Linked DNA regions of Neodiprion lecontei. The protein of the gene in region 2 interacts with the protein of the main gene of each other region in a biochemical or structural test. Links are inferred from orthologs where the notes say so. Each region holds a gene or a part of one and is shown on either strand. Other genes may lie near its edges.

What was found.
Region 1: the proteins of general vesicular transport factor p115 (region 2) and golgin subfamily A member 2 form a complex in vitro, tested with the Homo sapiens proteins (2 studies listed by BioGRID). The link is inferred for Neodiprion lecontei from reciprocal best matches to the Homo sapiens genes USO1 and GOLGA2.
Region 3: the proteins of general vesicular transport factor p115 (region 2) and syntaxin-5 form a complex in vitro, tested with the Homo sapiens proteins (2 studies listed by BioGRID). The link is inferred for Neodiprion lecontei from reciprocal best matches to the Homo sapiens genes USO1 and STX5.

What each region holds. Positions count from the first base shown.
Region 1 is NC_060261.1:34,113,867-34,121,822, reverse strand, and holds golgin subfamily A member 2, read right to left. Parts: upstream 5,788-7,956; 5' UTR 5,380-5,787; coding exon 5,341-5,379; intron 5,154-5,340; coding exon 5,061-5,153; intron 4,954-5,060; coding exon 4,258-4,953; intron 4,160-4,257; coding exon 3,964-4,159; intron 3,863-3,963; coding exon 3,697-3,862; intron 3,613-3,696; coding exon 3,471-3,612; intron 3,356-3,470; coding exon 3,161-3,355; intron 3,043-3,160; coding exon 2,821-3,042; intron 2,743-2,820; coding exon 2,557-2,742; intron 2,482-2,556; coding exon 2,230-2,481; intron 2,151-2,229; coding exon 1,772-2,150; intron 1,697-1,771; coding exon 1,496-1,696; intron 1,370-1,495; coding exon 1,176-1,369; 3' UTR 841-1,175; downstream 1-840. Other genes in the region: 60S ribosomal protein L35, read left to right, coding at 179-315, 468-699; COP9 signalosome complex subunit 9, read left to right, coding at 6,114-6,182, 6,438-6,510, 6,634-6,671. UniProt on the Homo sapiens protein: Peripheral membrane component of the cis-Golgi stack that acts as a membrane skeleton that maintains the structure of the Golgi apparatus, and as a vesicle thether that facilitates vesicle fusion to the Golgi membrane.
Region 2 is NC_060260.1:30,779,534-30,788,413, forward strand, and holds general vesicular transport factor p115, read right to left. Parts: upstream 6,635-8,880; 5' UTR 6,559-6,634; coding exon 6,481-6,558; intron 5,879-6,480; coding exon 5,650-5,878; intron 5,557-5,649; coding exon 5,300-5,556; intron 4,963-5,299; coding exon 4,761-4,962; intron 4,632-4,760; coding exon 4,480-4,631; intron 3,805-4,479; coding exon 3,614-3,804; intron 3,393-3,613; coding exon 3,220-3,392; intron 3,115-3,219; coding exon 2,687-3,114; intron 2,579-2,686; coding exon 2,398-2,578; intron 2,321-2,397; coding exon 2,133-2,320; intron 1,652-2,132; coding exon 1,264-1,651; intron 1,176-1,263; coding exon 967-1,175; 3' UTR 486-966; downstream 1-485. Other genes in the region: NADH-ubiquinone oxidoreductase 75 kDa subunit, mitochondrial, read left to right, coding at 1-21, 105-251. UniProt on the Homo sapiens protein: General vesicular transport factor required for intercisternal transport in the Golgi stack; it is required for transcytotic fusion and/or subsequent binding of the vesicles to the target membrane.
Region 3 is NC_060262.1:35,648,129-35,656,178, reverse strand, and holds syntaxin-5, read right to left. Parts: upstream 5,930-8,050; 5' UTR 5,784-5,929; coding exon 5,414-5,783; intron 5,143-5,413; coding exon 4,886-5,142; intron 4,568-4,885; coding exon 4,367-4,567; intron 4,296-4,366; coding exon 4,174-4,295; intron 4,091-4,173; coding exon 3,931-4,090; 3' UTR 1,109-3,930; downstream 1-1,108. Other genes in the region: zinc finger protein 502, read left to right, coding at 6,404-6,571, 6,838-8,050. UniProt on the Homo sapiens protein: Mediates endoplasmic reticulum to Golgi transport.

The DNA.
Region 1 (7,956 bases), on a different chromosome or scaffold from region 2:
AATACACAAATTCAGGTTAATTTTACGTATTGCCGGTCTGTAAAATCATACCCATAATCTAGACTTGCTTCTTTCTTTTAACCTGAATAAAACATTATTACATTGGCGGTTTCCATGTGGAATTGTTGTTTAGGTGTTCTAAGCGTGACGTTATGTGAGTGTTCTATTGATATTTCAGGGTAAGGTCAAGTGCTCCGAGCTGAGGAGGAAAGACAAGAAGGAGTTGCTCAAACAGCTCGATGAGCTCAAAACTGAATTGACGAATTTGAGAGTTGCCAAAGTGACAGGAGGTGCCGCTTCCAAACTCTCAAAAATGTAAGCTGTTCTAACCCCTTATAGTTTAATCTTTCGCTCTGAATCACTTATGTTATATTTATGTGATAAGTAGTAGCCGGTTTACTGTTATTGTCAAATGTAATGAATGACTAAAGCTGCCTAATTTACAATGAATTTCTCTTTACCTTCAGTCGCGTCGTTCGCAAAGCTATTGCTCGTGTGTACATTGTTATGCACCAGTATCAAAAGGAGAATTTACGACGCTTGTTCAAGAATAAGAAGTACAAGCCCTTAGACTTGAGGCCAAAGAAGACCAGAGCAATTCGCAGGGCCTTGACTCCTTACCAGGCGAGTCGTAAGACTCTGAAAGAAATTCGCAAGCGATCTGCATTCCCCATCAGGAAATATGCCGTGAAAGCTTAAACACAGTTCAATTTCTTACTCAAAAAATTAAAACAAAATTTATCAATAAAACTATTCTATGGTAGTTTATTTAACTTGTGTATATCTCATTTCAATTCCTTTCCTTTGTAAATTTATTCATCAACAAGACCAGCGGCTATTTTTAATGCTCACATTTACTTGCAACCCGTTTATGTTAAATAATCAAAATATTAATGAACTTTTTGTTGTTGAAAGCCTAGAAATAATTATATATGAGAGTAAATTTAAAAAAAATTTAATTCATAACTTTTAGTCTGCCGATAAGTTGGCAAACAAGCAAGTTAGTGAACAAAGGAAAACTGAAAAGAAAGTACTACATTGTATAAATTTATGAAATACTTCAACATTTTATGTACAATTTTGACATGTTCTGTTTAGGAATATGTTTATAGTAATCATAATAATTGAGAGTTGAATAATTTTAAGGCAATATAAGTTAATGACTGGTTTTAAGGTTAAATTGTAATCAAGTTTCCTGAACACCATGGGCATGGATGGAAGTTAGGTTCCAAGGCACACGTATCCTTGCATTCTTTAATTTCCGTCAGAAGATCAAGAATTTGAGACGTAGTTTTATCTTTGACTGCAACTACTTCCGATTGACAGGATGTCTTGTTTTCCACGTGTTTGCTTGCTTCTAGACCATCTTCTAGAAGACACATGTTAAAAATGAAACAATGTATAAAAAAAAAAAAAAAATTCGAGAAAACCAACAAACATTTAGAATCCGTAATCGAAATAGCAATGTGGACTGAATACAGGAATTAATATATACCGTTTGTACTATCCGATAATGCAGATGTAGTGGTAGACGTAGTTTTCTCTTTAATTAATTCAGCTACAAGCATTTTGAGTTTATGCAGCTGTTCCTGTTGTGTGTTTCGTTGTTCTGTCAACTGGCGGAATGCTTCCTCCTTTTCTTTAGCCCTTTCTTGAAGGACACCACGCTGCTTTTGATACAATGTAACATATTCGCCTGAAAGAGATGTTTAATTATACATCCTGGTTTTATTACACCTGAAATATAACGGTTCAGTGTGGCTACGCTAACCTATAGTTTCGGTTTCACTTTGAAGCTGCAAAACGAGATGTTCCAATCTTTGTTTTTCGTCTGAGAGTTCAGCAACACGTTCCATAGTATGTTTAAATCGTTCCTCCAACTTTTTCACAGCTTCGGGCGAAACTGACATCATTGCTTGTTGTTCGCTAATTGGCGGGGCCGTGTCACCAATACTATACGACTCATTGTCAGTCTGTGTTGTTGCTGTTGATAATTTTAGTTTTTCCACGTCATTCAATGCTTGCAAGTTACACTCACCATTGGGCTGTATAATGTTTTGATTTTGAACGGTTGAATCATTCAACATCGTCCCAGCATTCAATTCGCTGATCAATTGTTGATTTTCTTTCATTAAAACTTCGATCCGTTCCTAAATTCCAATGTTTGTATTGGTAACAAATTGATTTTGTATACAAGCACATTTCATGGTTCCAATTAGTCACATTTACCTGCGCATTGTGAAGTTCTTGCTGCAAGGTACTAGCCTGATTAGACTGAGCTTGATAGTGTTGCATTTGATCTGCAATTTGAGCCATGTGTAATTTTTCTTTCTCTAACTCAGCCATGAGTAAATCCTTTTCCTGCATTTCATCTTTCAATTTCTGTACTTCATTTTCAGTGTCATTCAACCGAGCATTCAATTTTCTTCCAATCGACCTCTCTCCTTGTAACTGCTCCGTCAAATCAAGTTTTGTGTTGCTCTATAGTGAAAAAATTGTTTTCACAAACTGTGCTTCTTTGACAATGTACTAAATAATTATTCTAAATTAACTTACAAGTTGTACGAAAGCATCTTGCATTTCACTCAACTGCTGTTTCAACTGTTGATTTTGAGAGACAGCCCGAGCTGCCGCTAATCTTTCACCTTCTAGAGCAGAGACTAAACGGGACGCCTCAGCATTGCTTGCACGCATTTCTTGCAACTCTTCCATTTCTTGCTTGAGTGCATCGATATCTGAATCCTAGATGGAAGAAAACAAAGTAAAATATTCAATTTCATTCTAGAGGACTATTGTAGTTCAGCCAGAAAGTTAAATCACCTTTTCATGAAGTGTTGCTCGAAGACTATCCCGTTCTAAAGTGAGTTGATCAATATTTTTGACTAACTCATCAATTCGCTCTTTATTGTCATTGATAACAGGAGGTGTAGATTCAGGTATTTCTTTCTGACTTTGTATTTGGCGTTCTAGATCGGACAACCGTTGAATAAGGCTGTGCTCTCGACTACTTATTTCTGCATTCTCCTTTGTAGTTTGCTCGAGCTAAAAAATAATTAATAAATGAATAAGATGCAACAGAAAAATATTTGCAGTAATCAGCGTTGCAATTTAAATATAATTTAAGAACAGCAATCAAAATTGCAAATTCGTGTTGGCTTACCTTCAGAGCAAGAGTGGTAACTTGGTTGTTCAGTTGTTGAACATAATTTTGGTAATGGTTACTAGCTTCGTCACGTTCACTACTGACAGCTTTAAGAGTTTCCATTAATTGGCTCAACTGCTGTTCCAGTGCGGCTACTACATGGTGTTGCTCACTGATACCTTGGGTTTCTTGTGTCGTAGAAGTCATCTGTAATTAGGTATTAGATTGGAATATGGCATGCTGGACACTTAATTTCCACTACATTTTCGGGTCAATTTTAGGTCTGATCATAGAGTTCCGAATAGAGATTATAATAAACTGTAAGTACCTGTTGTATTCGGAGTTCATTCAAGGACAGTAAGGCAGTTTTTTCTTTCAATTCTTGTTGAATGTTAGTTAACTCAGTATTTTTAACATTTAATTTCTGCCTTAATTCAGCGGTCTCTAATTCCAAGTCGTCTTTTTCTTGTCTTAGAATATAAAAACGTCCAATAAAGATCCAATGATATGTCATAAAAGACTAATAATGAGGGCCCATGACTGCGCAAACTTACTTCACTTGAGAATACTTCGCCTCTAAAGAGTAGAAGCTAGATTGAAGCTGGTTATTCACTTTTCCGACATCTTCGCTACTATTTTTCACAGAATTCAGTTCCCTTTCTAAATCAGAGACTTGGAGTTGGACCGATTTTAATTTTCCATTTAATTCTTCGACTTCAGCTGATAAAAAGTAATTGATTATCAATCTGTTATACTGTATAAAATTTTTACTTTTAGCGTGTAATACCAAGTCTATATTAACAAAATATAAGTAATTTTACCAATTTTTTGCTTGGTAGTTGTTTGACTTTGAACGAGGGCAGCAGTAAGCTCAGCTTTTTCTCCTACAAGAATGCCAGTTGTTTGTGCATGAAGTTGTAATTGCTCTTTGAGTGGATTCAATTCGTGATAAAGCTTTGCTTCAAATTCTGTATCCTTTGTAGTCATTATCATTTCTAGTTCTGACACTCTCGTCCTCTGTGAATATAAAAAAAATTCATTGAAATTGTATAATTTTTTAATATGAAGATTTTAGCTGGTCAATTGGTCTGAACCAATGATTTCACCAAACTTACATATTGGCTGACTTCAAGATGTAATCGGTTAACAAGTTCTTTTTGTTCTTGCAAGCAGAATGCCAAGAATTGATTTCTCTTTTCCAAATCAGAGGTAAGTTCTTGTGGCACGTCTTTACTCTCCATATCACTTGACAATATGTTTGTGACGGCAGATGTCATCTGTAGTAGATATTCTTTCTGCAACGCCTGAGATCCGACCAATGATTCATACTCAGTATGTAAACCACTGCGATTATTAGTTGACTCTGCATGAGCATTTACATTGTGTGTCTCGTTTTTTAATAAAATGTCTTGCTCTAAATCAATTTCATCTGTTTTATTCGTTATATTTTGAGAGGTAAAATAATTCTCAACATTAATCAGATTGTCATTAATTTGATGTTTATTAGAAACATCATCTGTCAGATTTGTGAAATTAGATATAATACTGGAACCTTCCGACAGTTTTTCTTGAACAGTGAAATCAACAGTGTCTTGAAAAACGCTAGTAGGATTTGAAGAATTCACCAGCTTTGTAGCAGCAGAAGTGATATCACCATTGGAATTGAATTCCAAAAAATCATGCGATTCTGAAGTTTGCTGAGGGGCTTCAGAAACTTGGCTGTCTATTGATGGTGTTTGAGTCTCTTTTATTGGGGACCCTATTTTCCGGTAGTTGTAATTATTATCAGAGTTATAAAGAGTATTGTCGATCTGTACAAACATAAAGTAAACCCCATGTTAATGGTTAGAGATCAAACTTTTTAATGAAGGTATTACCTTCGTTCAGATTAAATAAGGACAACGGAAATTCTCTTCACCTGTGACGGAGTAGATTCTTCTGTATTTTCGTTTACATCTTTTGAAGTATCATCTGCCATGTGACTTCTTTTACTCATTTGGAATTCCTTGAGCTATGATACAGAAATATCCATTATAGTATGTGATACTAATTCATGTGAGTTGTGTGTGTACATTACAATTTTCGATTTTGAAAATATTACACAAAGTAATTACAACGAACATTTGATTAGAAATTATCGGTAATGAATAATAGCGAAAAGTTCGCAGAAAAGATAACTATATTTTCTCTGCTCTCACCCTTTTTCTGGCTGCTAATAGTTTTTCAGATTTTTTCATTTTTGAGGGTTCGTTTTTGACCTGTACGAAGAGCAAACAGTGTACTTGGTGCAGAATCCACGCGCAATATTTATTCTATTAATTATTTACAATACATAGAGCAAAATATTACAATATGACAGAACATTGTGAGGTTACGCTCTACGTGCCACTTCACCACTCACACACATTGTCCTGATATGCAGGTGTATTAAGTCATTTGTGTTTGTGCACCATAGCTAATAGAGATGGACTACTACCTCACAGTGAGCCTTGATTAAAAAGAGAAAGCTATGGCAGAGAGGAAGATCCTCTCTACCTATGAGGACGATGACGTTGACGAAAACGAGAAACACGATACGAAATGCGGAGCATAAAAGGCAGCACTGCTGTTTCGCTAATGGTTTAGTTTAGAATCTTATGGCAAATTCAACTTCACAAGTGCGTTTACGTGTGGTTTCACTGGTTTTCTTGCCTGTTTATTGGATGAATTCTAGGAAATTTGGACTCGGTGCACACTTTTTCTGTAGTTGAATTCGCACTACAGAAATTCCCTACTGTTACCGACTCAGAGAATGAGACCACTGCTTGGTAATTCTATCTCTTTCTTTTTGTCGTTGATTACGAATTCTCAAGTCAACGTTTCCATATAGGTATGTACACTTAATGGTTAAACTAGAACAATTGCATATGAATTTTTCATCCTATTTCTACGTCGAATTGTTGTTTCAAATCAAGTAATTGATTGTGTCGACATGAAACCTACTGTTGTGGCCGATGAAATGTTCCCCGAAGGCGCTGGTCCATATATGGATCTTGAAGAGGTTCCGTTAAACATTCTAAAACATAAATTACATACGTTCAAATCGTAAACCATCGTGCCAAAGCTGTCAAACGTGACTTAATTTCTGGGCTGACGATCACTTAGATTGTATATCTGCATTGCATTGATTTAGAATTGCTCGTCACTGACCAATACCCTCACACCGTCAGCCAGACAAACAAGATCAAATTGCTCGGTAGTAAAAAAAATTGTATACTCTGCAAGTTATTGATGTTTTTTTTTTTTCATTATTTAGGCTGGTGGATCCAGTGGATTGTTGATGGATCTTGCTGCTAATGAAAAAGCGGTGCATGCTGACTTTTTCAATGGTAAGAATTTGTTTTGTATCAAATAATGATGAAGATATATTTTACTCTGTGCCAAAAAGGTTTATTCTTTTATAAAAGCGCTGCAGGAAATGTGCATTGATAAAAACACTATATTTATTTTAGATTTCGATGATTTGTTCGATGATGAGGATCTGAACTGATGAACACTGTGATCAACAAAGGTCTTAAATTCTTTCAAACTTGATAAGTTCGAGTAATACCGATATAATGATTTGTGTTACAAAAAATGAAACACTCAATGCTGAATAAACTGTTCTTATAAAAATATTTGTTTCATCATTGTTAGATAACTCTGTTGAATATTCATTTCACTTCGCGAGAATTATTATGAACTTAATGAAGCAAAATATCACGAACTGCTTTACAACTCAGATTTTAGGATGCTGTGACAATCTGAGCAATGTATCTATATAGCACACACATGTTAACCAGAAGTAGCTAATAATAGAAAGAACCTAGTTAACTAAAGATGAAACTAATTTGTTTAAATGGCATTGAAAACTATTTACATCTAGCCAGAATATAATGCCTCATATATCAATTGAAAATTAAAAATTGCATTAGCCTAAATAATGGCAAAAATTCAGACAAGCTTAAGTATAGCATGAACATAGTAATTTAATAACGACCAATTAATATAAATGAGAGGTCCAAATTTATTTACAATCATTCAATTAATCCAGCTATTTGTGAAATGTTGTAATAATTATTGTGTACAAGATACACTTTTCTGACATATGTCCGAAGATGCTGCTTTACAGACCCTATCCTCATGATACATATTCAGTATCAGATCAGTTACTGTCAGTAACACATGTTTGTAGGTAGCTGACCTCTAAAATCATTTACAAACCTAATCATAGATTGCAATTATTATATATTATTCAAAAATATTTTTTCGATCCAAAAACAAAATTCGCATTGAGCCATGTTAAACATTTACAAGATGCTCATTAATGGAACGAAGAGTTGAAATATTTCGGAAATAAGAGAAATTACGTAAATACCTATTTCTAAATAATCGTATCACACTTAATCCTGTTAATAATAACAATTTCTAAACTGAAGAATATTAATTATTAATAAGTAGCTAATGATTACTTTGTATTACTGGAACTGCAACATAAATTCCTATTTTGGGTAAAAGACTAATTCAATAAAATACGCAAAATCGATACAGCAGTATGCATAAAATAAATTTCTACAAGTAATCTTTTAAAGTTCAATGAATTTTCCATATCAAGTGAATTAAATATGTTTTCTAACGGAAAAAATTGCGCTCAAATAAAAATTTGGCATTCTATATCCGGAATAGTAAAGTTACGCAGAAATAATAAAAATGTATTAAAAACTTGAATTGAAGAAAAAAAAAATATACAGTCACTTGTAATAATTTTACAATTTATTCACTTCAAATTAGTTAGA
Region 2 (8,880 bases):
CAGGCTCTTGAACTGGCTAAGGTACGCTAATTATTCAGTTTTACACTTAAAAAAGAAATGACAAAATGTGAGAAAAAAGGTTAAAATGAGTGGATTATTTTCAGAAAACTGGAAGTTTCGCATCAGATCCACTTGAACTAAAGCAGAAGACATTAGATGAATTCTTTATGACAGATGTTGTGTCGCGTGCATCACCAACAATGGCTAAATGCGTGCAAGCTGTTATTAAGCAACGTCAGGCACAGTTATAAACTTAGCTTGACGTATTTATGTATATAGTATAGGATTCTGTTATAATAAAATTAATTATCATGTGAATTGTCTCATTATTACTGTCAACCACATGCAAGAAATAGAGAACAACATCATCAACATAAATTCCGACATGTTTGTAACAGAATTCTACACCAGAGATTCTAATAGTTGAGATATTTATATCATAGACTCGTAAGTTATTGTTATGCACTTAATTTTTTTTGTCAATATACACCCAAATAGAAATGGAACTCTACTGCATGTATCCAAGATTGCTTTCACCGTAAAAACTTGTTTGACGTGTTCGGAATGAAGACTATGTGAGACTTTGTTTCCAAATCATGTAAAACCAAATTTAGCAAGCATGAAAAGTTTTGAAAAAAGGAATGCTTCTTCCATTAGGCTATTTCCTCATGAGGGTGTGTCTAGAACATGGAAACCTTAGTAAATGAATATGTGTATAGCGGCCTTGTTCAATATAAGATTTGTCAAAATGAATAAACAACATAAAGAAGTTCTCTTTCCAATAATAAGTTCCAAACATTTGCTTCATAAATCCCGTGCAATAGCTACCAAATTTCTAACAACTGAACGAACCAGAATAATTCAATGAATTTGATGTGTAATTGTTTATACGAGACTACAAGTACACAATAAATATTTAATTTGTAAAGATAGGAATAGAATAACGTGACCAATTAACAAATATAATTAATAAAAAATACTTTGATCAAGGTAATTCTGATTAAATATAGTTTTAAATGGAGAAGAGATGATGCCATGAATAATGAATAATTCTTTCATTTTGGATCTAAAATTTATTCCCGTGATTGAGTTAAACATTCTTCGGTAATATTTTAATTGCTGGATTCTGGCTGCTCGTCGGTATCGAGTTCTCCTGAACTTTCGTCTGATTCGATCTGGAAAAAGATGTTAAACAATTGTAATAAAAATACCACAACTGATTGATATATTTCCTCAAGAAGTAACGGAAGTTGTATTTCAAACTTACTTTTTCACCTAGCGCAACCAGTTTCTCTTTATATTGCATCAGTTTGCTATCTTGTTCTGTTAAAAGTTCTAACAAATTTTCCTGATCCTTTTTCATTTTTTCAAGTTCCAATGTTTTTTCCTTCAACAATTTTTCATATTCACTGTTGTTTGAATTACATTCTGTTCGTTCTTGTTTTTGCAAATTCAACGTGCATTCGGCTAGCCTGTTTTCCAAATCTCGAACCGTATTTTTATATTTCTCCAATTCTACATTTGTAAGATCAATAGTATCTACAGATGGCACAAGCTCCTTGGCTTCTGTTAAGTTTATTTGAGCTGCACGTAGAACTAAATTCTGGTCTCTCAAGTGACTGATGGAAGTCTGTAGCTCGTATACTTGGGTCTGCAAATGAGAGTAAAATGTACAAGAAGTAATGATTATGCTGCATAAAATTCATATATATATATATATACACACACACCTGCATTCATTGAATATCTACATTAGGGTGGTTCAAAAAAAATTGCGTTTTTTTCGCTCTTACCCCCTCAAATGCTAGTATTTGATAGAAAAAAGATCTTCCCAAAAGATGAACTCTCTAGCTCAATACTAATAGGCCACTATTTTAATTTATATTTCCCATTCAATTAACATGGGAAAATTTCACTGTTCGTTAAAAATTAAAATACTCGTAAACTATCCAATATTTTTTAAACTTATGCATAGATCCTTGAAGCTGGTTTTCAAGCTTTTCAAACCTCTATAAGAAAACATAGTTATCATCATTACAACACACATTACAGTCATCTGAAAACATCGATTTTGACTAAAATAGAATTTTCTCTTTTTGCACCACCCTAATGCATCAGCAACCAATACGTACCTCCAAATCCCTTTTTTCTTTAGCCAAAGTTTCGTTCGTCTGATTAAGTCTGTGGATTTGTGCATCCTGCTCCCTGATAAGCTCTTTATATTGTGACACCAGAGCAGAATCAGATGGCGACAATGTCGACGTAGGATCCTTGCCCTCCTGTGGATTACTTCCATCCTGTACTGACTTCACTACTACACCTATGTAGATTACACAAAATTAGATATCGTTTTACATCCGTCATTTATAAACAAAGTACTACGTGGAATCATATTACCTTCCAAAATTTTCAGCAATCTACAAAACTCGTGGTCCAGAAGCAAATCAGACGGATCTTTTGTTGAAGGCTGAGGATGTTTAAGAGTTCTGGAGTAAATTTCATGTCGGGTGATTCCTCCGATAGCATCCTGAAATCTTTCCAATCCAAGTCGATTTTCTATCAAATGGCATAACTTTTCCTAAAACATGCAAGTATACTTACTTCCTATCAATTATCACTCAACTGTCAAAGTGCATTCGCAAAAGTAGTGTGAAATGTGGTCAATATTTCAAACCTTCTACAGTACCTTTGTATAATTAGGCACACTGTCATCATTAAAGTGTACGCATAAGCCTAGTAATAAAGCGCACATACTTTGAAGCAGTGTCTCTTGCAAATCGTCAGTATCTTCTTGAGAAGACAGCAGTGCGGTCAAATAAGCGACTGAAGATTCTATAGTTAAGAATGCTTTTACAGCAGGTGGGCAATGCGACACCCATCTGCAAAGTAGCATTAAAAGCCCCAGTTTACATTGTGTCTTATTTCCTTGTTGAAGAAGCATGACACATTGTTGCATTAATGTAACAGGCGGCTTGCCAATATTCGTAGCAAGAAGTACCCTTAACAGTTGCTCTTTTTGGATCGAATTGTCGATTAGGGCATGAGACAGAGCCACTGCCGAAAACCAATTTGATAAGGGATCCAACGAAAATAGGCCACCACACAATAGTTGTCCTTTGAGAAATGGATGACAGATTACCCAAAAAATGTATAGTCAAACGAATTATGACAATATTGATTGGAATATACATTTTCCATGTATTGTAACTGGATTTATACCTGTTGTGAGAGATGCTGCTTCGTTACCCTGTGGTAAGAGTGTCTGGATAAGTTGCGTCTGTCCTACTTCATTTTTATATAGAAAACATTGGAAACAATAAAGCACGGAACAGCGAAGAACAAATGGTTGCTTTTCATTCACCATAGACATTAGCAGAACAACTATAGCAGGCCTGTGGAAAATAGAAAATTGAACAGACTACTGATGGAAAAAAGCATATTTCGATTAGGTATCACTCTTGAGTAGTGTATGTTTGAATACTATTCTGTGACTACTTGACAAGATATGGAATACATTGAGAAAAAACATATTATGGAGGAATCATTATCTTTCAATTTATTATCACACTTTAATTTCAGAGATTAACTTCGTATGTAATTATGAGGTGCTTACCTAGGAGGACTGCTAGGGGCCATAACGCTAGCTAAAAATTCCTGATTGCTTGTATTCCCTCTGATAACTTCAGCAACTGCACTGATAGTTTCTGTCAACACATCAGCAGGAACTCCACTGGCCATTAATATATCACACAAAGCTTGAAGTAAACCACATGCCCTCATCGTCCGTTGACAAGCGGCTGTTGCCTTTAAACATGGTGAATAGTTATAACAATAACACGATTTAACCATTCATTGACAATTTTATGAAATTGTATCATTTGAAGTAATCCTCTGGCACGTGAATAATATTATCAGAGTTATGGAAGAGAAACCAACAATGAAGTACGATATGACGTCACAGTAGCAGAGGACTATTAGAAAGCGATTAGATAAAAAGAATTTGGGAAATCGGTTGATGCAGAAAATATTTGTTTTCAGGCAATAATTAACAGTGAGTGAAAAGGTCTACGTATGATGCTCAATCATAATCCAATTCTTAATCTCCTGTTTCTTAGTATTCTCCAAGAACTTGATATTTCTTACAGAAAAAATAATGCGAAGTTACTAGGTTTTTTAGCCATAACTGATGAACGTACTGTCTCCTCGCCTTGAAACTAGCCACAATCGTTTCATGTTAAAATTATACGTCAACATGGTTGTAATTATAGTGCTTTTTGAATAATTGATCAATTTTGGCAAGAAACATAATGAAGAGATACGAGATGTTTTTTTCGAAAAACATCGAGCACCTAAACTTTAATTAAGGCACGTAATTACTCTAAAGAACATCTAATTATGTCATAACTCATTGACAAAGTTTTGATGTGGTTCTACTAAAGATTACCCACATCTTTTTGGTTCAATTCTATCCAAAATTACCTGTGCTGGACCACCGGGAGCAACTAATGCCCTAATAACTTGTACCATGCAATGCATATTGCAAACTTTTTGAGGACTCCAGCCACTTAATGGATTCTCATCAGTTTCCGGTGGCAAATCAAACATAGGTGTCAGTCTCTGTATATAGCTTCCTATTGGAACAGTAATAATCTCATTAAAAAATCTGAAGATAAGAGAAGTCTTTTTCTTTGTAGACTGGCAGAAAAATCTCAGAAACTGATTGAAAACCTTATGAGTTACAGTAAGTTGCAACACCTTACCTTCCTTGAAAAAGTTTTGATTACTGATGTTTCCTCGTAGTAGATTTAACATTAGCAACAAGCAATCTTGGACCACAATACCACCGTCTGCTGAACCTTCTTGGGATATCACATCGAAAATACGATCGAATGCATTCTCGAAGGCAACAATCTTTTGGATATTTGCATTACCTTTAGTCAATTGTATGAGCAGTAATAGTGCCTGTGAATTGAAAGAAGTTTTGATTGCAGGAGTTAATGATATTAGTATACAAGGTGACTCAGGACTATAGGCCCGTAGAATATCAATGTGATTATTTTGAAAATCTGCGTCTGAAACGATTTTTATTTCTCTAGTCATGCTGGATGCTGCCAGATTAGCCAATTTGGCTGTAATTCGTTAAAGACAAATTTCCTATCAAAGGTGAAAAACGTTTTAATTGCAGATTTTCAGGAGGAATACATTGATAGCCTATGGGACGATAGTCTTGTGTCACTGTGTAAACATAATGATGTAGCTTGTGCAAATCTGAATATCAGAATAATAAAAGTACACTTACATCATTGCGTATCACCTCTCTGCTGTCACTGAGGAGATCCATTAACTTTGAAACTCCCAATGGACTGACAAGAATTATTTCTTGAATGTCCTTTGGTCGATTACCTAATAAATGTGTCAGGAGCTTGAGGGCTGGCCACCTAACTCTAAAGTCGAATTCCTCTAAAAATGCTAAAACTTGAGTAGTGCTGTCTGATTGTTTGATAAATATTTCTGTAAATTGTTCTCCGATTTTGTTCTTGGGCCCATAATTTTCAACTGAAAATCGAATTGTATAAAATAAAGAAGTATAGTTACATAAATTTGCACATAATTTCACTAGATAAACATTTATTTAGTTTCATCTATTACCTTCAGCCTCAAATGTTTCAGGACTTGTAATATTGCACAAAGTATCCATTGCTAAACCAACAATCTCACAATCTGTTCTATCCATCTCAAGCACTTGCCTAAGTGCATCCATAGCCTGTGTACCAACCTCCAGACGATATGTTCTTGAAAGTGCTTTCAATGCACGGCACGCATCTCTTCGGTCGTCCAGCAAACTTGACGATTGCAAGCGATCAACTAAACGTTCTACCTGTGGTCAGAAGTCAAATGAAAACTTCTTCGTAGTCAATGGAAAAAATACAATTCACTTTTATTGACAACTTGAATATCGCTAATGGGCAATCCGTATGAAGGTTTATGACCTAGGCTTGATATGAACGTTATTACTCATTTTGGAATTTTCATTATTCAGCTATATATGTTATAAGTGGACAGAAGTTTGAGGTTGTGATATGTATTGACAGACACATTTAGATAACAGAAATTACATTAAATGTGTCGATTTCCAGCTGCACTTTCGTTACGAAACTTCAGATAAAAGTGAAACATATCAACTAATTGAGCTGGGAAATTCTCAAACGATAAAAATGACTGTCGAAGGTGGTTGGATGTCATGAGTCGTACTGCAACGAATATCAGACAGATGTTACAACAGCTTTTCAAATATTCTTCTTTCATGATGTTCAATTGAAGCTCAAGATCTTATCACGTGGACCAGGAGGAAAATTACATGGAAACCGGGTGACTCGAAAAACGACAAGATTATGAATGAACAAATGTGACAATTTGACAGCACATATTGGCTAAGTATTTTGTGGCAACGACGCTGAAAAATATTTATAATATACTTACGGTGTCAGCACCGGACGGCTGGTTCCCGGGCGGAGGTGCACCGAGAACAGATTTTAGCCCACTTTTGAAATATTCCATGTTTTTTTAAATTTGCACTGTTCAATGTAAACTACACGTCACACAGCGCAGACATTTTGGAAAATAGATAGCGGCTCTCAGGGTGTACAAGACGGTATGTACTCTGTAGTATCGGCTGTAATTGAGTAGTTCAAGAACTAGCCTATCAATAGGTGGCACCCCGTGAATCTTCCAGAGTTGTTCACAGTCGGTCTGGGGCCAAAATTGTTTACTTGGAATCAACAAAATAATCTATGTGAACAAGCCGCCGACCTCATCTTCGGTCTTGCGTTGATGAAAGCTATGTATCGATAGAATTAGAGGATTTGAAAAGAAGTCGTTCCGCGCGCGTCGCTTCTCGAGGAAATAAATAAGTCATATATTTTACACATCTTTTGCTGATAGAGTAGTTCGCATCACTGCAGACAAGGATAAGGAAAAAAATGTTTTACAACTTGCCGTGCTTAAATGCAAAGAACTACTTCGTTATTCTGTAATAGAATATTCGTTTCAAATCAAATTCGCAATATTTGAAACTTCAGAATTTCGTAAAAAATATTATTACCATGACCACGAATGAGTTCGGCTGGCCTGACTAGTTCGCAACGACTTCAAAGGATGTCGCGATGAACTGGTATTACTTTCAATGTCACCTCATCAGCTGTATCCACAGCTGGTCTCCCGGTTCCCCAGCTGATGCACAGCACCGATGACATTCAAAGGACTTTTGCATGTCCGATTCTGCCTCAAAGCTTGTTAATTATTCGGTTCGACTGGTTGATTTCGCCTAGAATAAATTCAAGAAATAACCGTACTCCGCACAATCAGTTCTCGAAAAATATTAACGATTACAAACGAGAAACTTGAACGGTGTGACCATTGATTTTATTGCCATAAAATGAGAAGGTTGACAACGGTACGAAGTATCTGTTCATGTGTGGTTGATGAAAAATTTTTTCTCTTTTAAAAATGCGGATTTGCATAGCTTTGCACTTTACATTTGTTTACAAGTCTGTACTCATCGCATTCTAACTATTGACCAATGAATTTTTATTATAAAAAACAAAAGTCGCTAATTGATTTCTGTCTGAGTAATATGAGGTAAAAGCCCATATTTGTTTTCCTAACTATTAAGCCATTTATAGACGACAGCTAATCGAACTCATGAATATTATTTTTTTCACCATTACAGACGATTTGCTCAATCTCTATTAATTACGTAGCCGATGCTCCACGTGCTCATTTAGTCACGTAGTTTGATGGAACCGCCTGAGTTCCCGGTAATCAATTTTTTATATTCTTTTGTTTATGCATGGTATGGCCAACGTACAAAAAGCAAAGAAAAAGTGCAAATGCTAATCCGATCCACGCGTTTGGACTCTGCGTCCTTTTTGGCATTCTTAATACCATTTATTCGTAATTTTGTCATCGGTATCAACTGCTGCAGCTATAAATACACCCTTGTATGTATATACTGTACAGATAAACAGAAGGTACAAGAAACGAGCAATCTATGTATTTTCCGAATAAATGGTGGCACGTGTACAAAACGATCGCTGAAACTGTTATTTACGTACACTTGTCAAGGCGAATATCTGCATGTGTGCACGTAGTCAGCTTGGTCACACTTGACAGAGTGACACAACAATGACGTTTACAACAAACGCTTGACAGCAACTCTATGCACATGATATGTAACATACATATACATATAATCCCGAAAACTGGCTGCAAGACCGGCAGCAAATGCGTTACACATCGTGCGAAGCATTAGAAACCAGAGTCTAGTCTTCTAATATTATACATATAGTTACAGTTAGCAGTGGTTCTTGCTTCTCAGGTTTTCACCCCACTGATACCTTTGCATCATTTCAGGCAGTCCCTGACCTCACCTTGCGTGGATCTATGTGACCTCTTGTTCAGAAAATAAGAGAAAAATGAAACAACAAAAAATAAGATGCCTCATGCCTAGGTATCGTAAGGATAGAGATTTGATAGATTGATTGCCTGCAGGCTTTACTTTCAAAATATATTTTCTGCGGCTGTTTATAAGTACAATCCATTTAACTATAATATGTTCCAGAAAATTCGTAATGAAGAATAAATGACTGCTCGTTTGTAAAAATACATGTGTCTACATATTAGGTATACATAATGAAATAAATATCTATGAAGTTGTATGATTAGGCGCATGACGTCACACGACGTTGCGTATCATTCGGTATTCGTAGAAATTAAAACCGCTACCTCCGACGATATTATCAAAATTGTTGCAATATAGTGGAACGTTCACGTTGCTTTGCGTGAGTCACCTCCTATAAGTTGGCCTTCGGCGTGAAAAAG
Region 3 (8,050 bases), on a different chromosome or scaffold from region 2:
AATATTCTAATCATAAGGATCAGTTCTAAAGGATTTTTACCATTATTATTATTATAATTTCTAGGTAATCGCTCGACAAAGTGAACGACGCTTGGAAGAATCGAAGGCTGAAGCCAGCCAATTACGAAATCGACTGACCCTGGTGGAGAAAAGTATAAATGAAGTAGATGCTGATTCAAAATTACATCGTAAGTATATTATTTCTGATGTGAATATTTTTTTCTAGTGGTAATGTTACTTTTCCATCAAATCTTTTACTTAATATTCTGACAACACTTGGATATTTTATACTCTTACATTACGAGGCGAAACCCTTTGTATTGACAGTTTTACAAATACTTCCGTGATACTAGTTTATCAAATGGTGACCTTCTAATGTAATATTTTGAAACCTGACATCGAAAAGCCTTAAGTCTAATCTAAAAAGTCTTTGAAATATTAGTGACCAACAGATGAAATATTTTGCTAGGTAGTATTTACTTTTATTGAGAATTCAGCTTTTTTCAAATGTATTTGAAAGTCATATAAAAAATTTAAATTTGTGAAATATTGAATATAGTTCCTTCTTAATTTGGAACTATTATAACTAGTAACAAGCATCAGGATCAGGTAAAAGTTGATCGTATTTTATAATGTAAAAGCTTGTCACTGATACACAGGGTACAGCTACATATTATGTTTATTTAATGAAAACTCCCACGCAGGCATGGAGACGAATGGAGAGACAGCATCATCCCCTCAATTATTTTTGGGAGCAGAGACATCAAGTTCTCCTATATTGTTTACTGGTTCCTCAGGTATTCCTCCCCCTATACCCCCATTCCCACCGTACCCTCCGTATCCCGTTATACCGGGACCGCCACATTCTGGAGGGGGACCAATGTACGATATTAGTAGGAGGCCTCCACCATTAGGAGGACGTCTGTCTTCACCACCCCCAATACCTCTTCCTCATCCACCTGGTAGATACGAAGATGCCAGTTCTCCACCACCACCGCTTTCACCTCCGTTACATCCCTCTTACAACCATCGATCACCGCCACCATTTAGCAACGAACATGCCCATATGTATCATCATGGTCCGCCTCCTCCATTTTTGCCACCTTTGGGAACTTTGCATTCATGGGGGGATGATATATTACCACCCACACGAAATCCGGTTTTCCATCCCCATCAACGTGAGCAGCGTGTACGGAATCACAAAGGTTTGTTTCAAAAATCGCATAAAAGCTTTCACACAAAATACTCACATCACCTCACCTCCGGCTTTAGGGAAACTGGAATGATTCTTATTTCCGTCATGTTGTAATCGGTTGGATTTTTATATTTGTGCACGCAAGGACGCAAGCGCTTCTCTAAAGTAAGGCAGTTTTGGAGTACAATGGAAGGAAATAATTCAAAATAGAATCTGTGGCAGGTTTATTTTAGATCTTTACTTTATGTACTTTTTTTCTAGCAGTTGGTAATTGTGTAATCCAGTTATTGAGCAGAATATATTTATTCATATAGCACCACGTCATAGAGTAGAATGCTCAATTACACGTCTTTATCATCGATCTTCAGTTGTGAAACATTAACTACTTTACACATATTGAATCAGTACTATTTTAACATTACAGCTTTTCTTTGTACACTAATGGCACTTACTTATTTAATTTTTCTGTTTTTTTATTGGCTTTGTGTTTATATGTATACGTATTAGTGGTTAATTGTAAAGCCAACTGCTTACACTTGTCCTAAGGACCACGCATAGCACTTAATGCAAGGCACAGACTCACCTTAGTTTGCTTAACCATCCCATTTCATAATTGGTTTTCAGTAGAGTCAATGTTTAAAAATGTTGCCTGAACGGAAAAATCAAAGCATTTGTCAAGTAGAATCAATTTTTGACACTTGGTTAAGCTTTCTTGCTTGCAGACTGTTATTTGAAATTCCAAAACATAACGCACTAACTTGATTACTTGATTCACCAGATCCATACCATCACTAATACGCTACCAAGCAAATTAGAATCAAATATATTATATATACGCATGTGCATCTGAATTATTGTTTATGTATAAATTGTTATTTTATTTGTAGGTTCGTTACATTCTTCTGGAGACTCCCTGGACAAATCAAATCATACTGGAAAAGCCTAAGCCTTTTGTCTTATCTGGAACCAGAAATACGTTTAATATTTCATTCCATAGATTTCTTCCCGTTTAATAAAATGATGCTACTTCAAATTTGAATTATGCATTATCAATACTTTGAAGAACTTATCCGTAATTTGGATGTGGCTATGTTCGAAAATTTTCGTCTGAGTATGATGAAATTCGACTGTAGCAAATTCGTACTTGCTAATGTGTAGATACCAAATCACTTCATGTAAGAGTTTTTGTGGAAATACTAAATAGCTTACACTACATGGTTTCAGAAAATGTTATAGTCGAACGTTTCAAAGGAAAGCAGGTATACATATTTATATATATGCGTAGAGATATGAACATTTGTATAAAAATAAAATGTGATTATTGAAATCATGTTGAAAAAAATTTGTAATATTTAGTATAACAATCACACTGTAAAATGTATATTTATGATTTTAAAGAATCAAAATAAATTGTAATTTATTATTATTCGCGAGTTATGGCTTCGAATTTGACTGAAATCCGGGACAATTATGCTCATAAAACGATCATTTATTAAATGCATTTTTTAAATTTACCGTCAATATTTTACAAATTAACATGTGGATTTAATTTGCCTAGTCGAGTTTAAATCTATAAAAAATAATTTCGTGAAAGTTACTGTTACATCTCTATAAAACTTCAATCTTGATCGTCTATTGTCAGAAAAACAAGTTTGTCAATTCCAAGTTTGAGTAAAATAAGTAATAGCTGCTGAGTGAAATTACTACAGTACTGAGGAATGTCATAAAGTGCGTTAACTTTATACATAATGTAGTATTTTAATTTTATTTTTCTATCAACCTTTGCCTAAACAACTTTATACTTTATACAAATATAACCAGCCTATTCATTCGCGTAAACCACAATTTAGTGATACAATAGTATAAGTTGCCAATATCAGAATTGCAGTTACGCAGTTTGCGAAATGATGGCCCACTTCATTCCTTACATTGATATTGTAAAAGCCAAGATCGATTGTGTTGACGTATGAAATTGTACTGCCACTCCTTTAGAATATACATATAAGGCACCCAGCTAGGCAAGAATAGATACTATTTTGTGTGTAATATTTTGTTGCGATTAACTGTTGCTACTTGTTATATCCATAATGGGACACATGACTCGCAAGTAATCGTATACGAATTGTGGTTAAGTGTCAAGGGCAGTCTTATGACTATACCAGTTCACACAATTGATCAAGGCCTCAATAACTTGTATTTCACTGTACACAATGATTAGGTGGAGATGCATAAAAATTCAATTGATGGATTGGCCGTGTTAAGCGACATTGATTCAAAATTAATGTAGATAAATCGATATTGCGAAAATATTTCAGCATTAGAAGCTCGAATATTCTTACTAGGTGATTACGGTAAAACTTTAATATTAGCAACTAAACCGTACAAATATAGTTTTTCTAAGATAATACAATTCAATTAACTATCATGTGATTATTTAATTGAATATTGTCGTAATTATCACTATGTACGGTATAGTTTGATAATATACATATGAATGCAAATACTCTGTTATATTTATAAAATATTAAAAATAGCTAATTTCCCGTAAACGGAACAGTTGTGAATATACAATTTCGATGCTTATGGTACAATATCCACACTGAACCTACTTTATAAAAAAAAAGTTATTCCCGCGTCAGTTAAACAGATATTTTTTTTAATAAGTTCTTAATACAAGTAAATGGTCAAATAATATACATAATTATAATAGTATATCGTTTTGACGGATTTTTGCCCTATGCTACAAAGACAACGAAGAATATAAAGAAGAATATAAGAACAGCAAAAATTTTTATCATCAGCCACCGATTGTTCGTGACTGATTGGAAGTATTTTAAAATTTCACCATGCGCAGCCTCTACGTTTAACTCGGTATCTTGTATGTTGCTGTCTATCCTGAAATTGAACAAACAAAATATCGTAAGATTACAATAATGAAAAATTTGTAGGAATAATGTTCAACTCTAGCGCTATCATACCTTTCAACCATTTCTTCCTGTTCTTTGACCATGTGAGCCAGTTGTTGAAAGATTCCTCCAAGTTCAACAATTGTAGATTCAATATTCTGCATAGCATCTGATCTCGACTGTACATAAGTATCCTGACGAACAAATTCAATTTGAGTATGTCTGTTATTCTAATTACTGATAAGAAGCTCAATTGATTACTCACTGTTTCGTCGTAGAGGACTGCTTGACGCTGCATTACTTGCTGTCCCATTGCGGGTTCCAAGTCGATGCTAACAGAGGAAGAATTTGCTTGTTCTTGAAGAAGCAAGGAACCTTGACGCCCTGATACTGCACTAGGAGGTAACGACGAAGATACCGATCCTTGTGTAAACTGTTCCCTTCGGCATTGTTGTTGTTTCAAGTTCTACACAAGTTTGTTTCAAGTTAGTGGAAAACTATTATTATGTTTTCATGTATACATGGCTGGTAGTTATTGAATTATATCAGTAAAATCAGAATGTAATATTTCAACTACACAAATGTAATAAGCAGAAATGATAGGAGGCTCAAATGAATTTTATATTCAAAGTTACAGCATAGAATAAAAAAAAAAGAAGATAAACCATTAAACTAAGAAGTTGAAATAATCAGAGTTTGGACATCCATAATCTAGATATGAAGTTTTATCCATTTGTTTGAAACTATGAAGTCTATAACGGCATTTATAACATGTTATACTTACTTCTGTCCTCACTTCAAGAACGTTTTTGAAGTGATTAGACATGTTGGCTAATTTTGATTGCAGAGCGACGACTACAGAAGAGGAGTGAGAGGCAAGGTGATGGCCACGTGTCGTCCCAAGACTCTCCCGCTGTTGTCTACCTACTTCTTGCAATTTTGCTATTTGCTGATTCAAACTATTCAAATCCCCTTTTATGATGTAAGTCAATTCTTGGATTTCTGATGGTCTATCGTCAAACAACGATTTCTTCTTTGCCACTACAATAACAAGAAACATCATGGACGTTGTAGACGAATATTGAATTATTTTTAAACCTTACAACATACAAGGAAAAATTCATTGAAACAAATTTCAGTTTCTTCTTTGCAGTAAAATTCTTAAACTCGTGTCATTTCATTTAAATTTTCAATAACTGTTTGCAGCTACTTAAAATTTCAAGGATAGCTAGGATTTAGAAGATTGTTTTCATTCGTGTGAAAAGTGAAAGTAACAAATATACCAATGAATATTAATTGAACATCATCTTACGCAACGCAAGTTTTTCCAGTTTGGTATAAGTGCTAGCGATATTCTTTCCAATATTCTTAGCAATCATCATAAAATTGGAATAACTCTGTATTTGACGAGCCTGTCTAGGATCTCTCATAACAGCGGCTCGCGCCACTGTCCTTCCCTGCATCGTGCGAATCGCATTCGCAAACTCTTTGGTCCTGTCTCGCGAAGTCATTGTCACTAAGTTAGCTTCTTGCTGTTTATTGTTGATATCTAATTGTTGAGAAACAACTCTATCATTGTAGTATTGATGTCCAAAATCACGATTTTGATATGCACTGTTGGAGGTTGTGATCATTGGATCAATTTCGTGTTCGGAGCCACCTCGTCGTCTACGCGCTGGCATTGCATCCTCAACTTTCAACAAATATACTATGTATTATCACAGGCAACACTTCACGCGATTAACTACGTCAAGTATAATATAATATAATTTTCACCCAACAGATTGGAAATTGCTGAACCACATGACAGCTCACAGCTTTGAGCCACGGGCAATGTTCACGCTCATTAAAGATGATACGCGTTAGCCTGTCACATCAGGCTATCTTACTTTTAATTCCACGGCTTGAGGAGACTAGGATGTTTTGGTGTTCCCAAAGCAACAGTGTCGTACTGTCGCGGCTGAAATCAGCATGTATATTACACGTTATGATACGTTACTTAAGTCGCGTGTAACATACATAGCTTAATGACGACTTACCCGGATAGCTCATGATTTGCAGTGTTTATTTTTATAATCGTTACTTCAACTGTTTGGAGCTGCTCGATACTGTTCTACAAGTCTTATGGTTTCATCTCTTTCTTTTAACCCAAATGAGAGAAAGACAGGAAAAATTAGAATCCTTTTCGTTCGAAAGATTTTCGAACACATCCACCGGTCTACCTTACTAAGCGCTACGTCACTTAAAGTAAAATCAAGCAAATGGCGCAGCAAGACGGGGCTCAGCGGAGTATTTCTTCGTGATGGAAATGGAAGTGGAAAAAATAGAAACAGCCGAATGTGTTTCGCAAGTTCAGTTAGCTTCTATCCAGGAGTGTCGTATTTGTTTAAAAAATTGCAACCAGTTTTGGGAATTATTCCAAAATGATGAGGATATTCCAAGAAAAATCATGGCGTTTGCAGCTATACAGGTTAGTTTTTGGGCATTTTCAACCGTATCATCACTGTTATATTACGATCATCAACATGTTTTATTTTTCCAATTCATATTTGCCGTCAGAACTAATTTTCGATCAGTTGGTAACAATAAACGTCGCTTATTCAACCACCCAGACTGCATTTGAAATATAAACAATTCTTTGTATTTTGTTTGTTACACTACTACTATCATTACTTCACACTCCTTAACAATTCAATTTACAAATTATTGGCAATGTATTTTTAAACATTTTTACAGGTAGAACACGGCGACGGTCTCCCAAGTGTTATTTGTTTTTCATGTCGTCAGCTATTGGATATGTCTTATGATTTCAAATGTCAGGTTGAAAAATCTGATGCTGCTTTACGTAAAATATTGCTATCGAATGTAAAAGTAAACGGAGATGCAGCTAAGGAGTTATTATCACAATCGATCAATGATGTTATCACGGAAGCCATTGCTGACGAAATTCCTAATCAGCAAACAGGAATAAAGGAATTGGAAATGCAGAGTGTATCAAAATCACAAGCTGCACAAGAGATGAAGCGTGTAGTATTGACTAATTTTGATGATAAACAAAGTACAGTAGCTTTTGAAATCAGTGAGGAGTGCATGAGTGGTAACGAGTCTTCACAAGAGGAGGAAATGCAGGACAAAAGCCTGAGCGATGAATCAATTGATAAGCAAATAGAGAAAGATGACGATTTCAGCCAGCGGGAGATAATATCTGCTTTGGAGAGTACAGAGATATTGCTGGATGACCAGGGTGTTACAGTAGGTAAATTAATTGATTCGACAGATCAAAATATTGAACCAGAACCCATTAAACAAGAGGATATGCCATTGTCAGAGGAATGTGAATTGTTAGAAGGAGAGAGGAACAATCAGGATGAAATTATTTTTCATGATGATCTCAAGTTTGAATTAAAAAATAGTTTACTTTCTGAAGGGGAAGACGAAGCTGATGTTTCGTCTGAATCGGGTAAATTAAAACCCAACAATTGTCAAATTTTTAATGAAGAAATGAATGATAGTGACGAAGAGAAACCATTGATCACGAGAACCAGCAGACGAAAATGTCCTCACTGTATCAAGAGCTTTGCCACAAATCTAGCTTTGCAACGACACATGACCATTCACAAGCACAAAACTAAATTGAGATATGTTTGCTACTTGTGTGACAAACAATTTTCTACTGTTGCAAAGTTGAAGAATCATGTGTCAGATAATCATGATTCTTTGAAAAATGATAACAGAGTTGATATTGATAATAACTGTGGTGCAATAGATACTGATAGAAAAGGGGAAAAGTTAGAGAAAGACATTGACATTTCGATATACAAACAGAAAACAGATAAAAAAAATTATAAAATGAAATGCAAAGTCTGTGCGAAACAGTTCACCTATCAAAAATCATTTCTTTCCCACATTAAGACTCACCCTGAATATGAAAAATGTGAAAATTCAGATA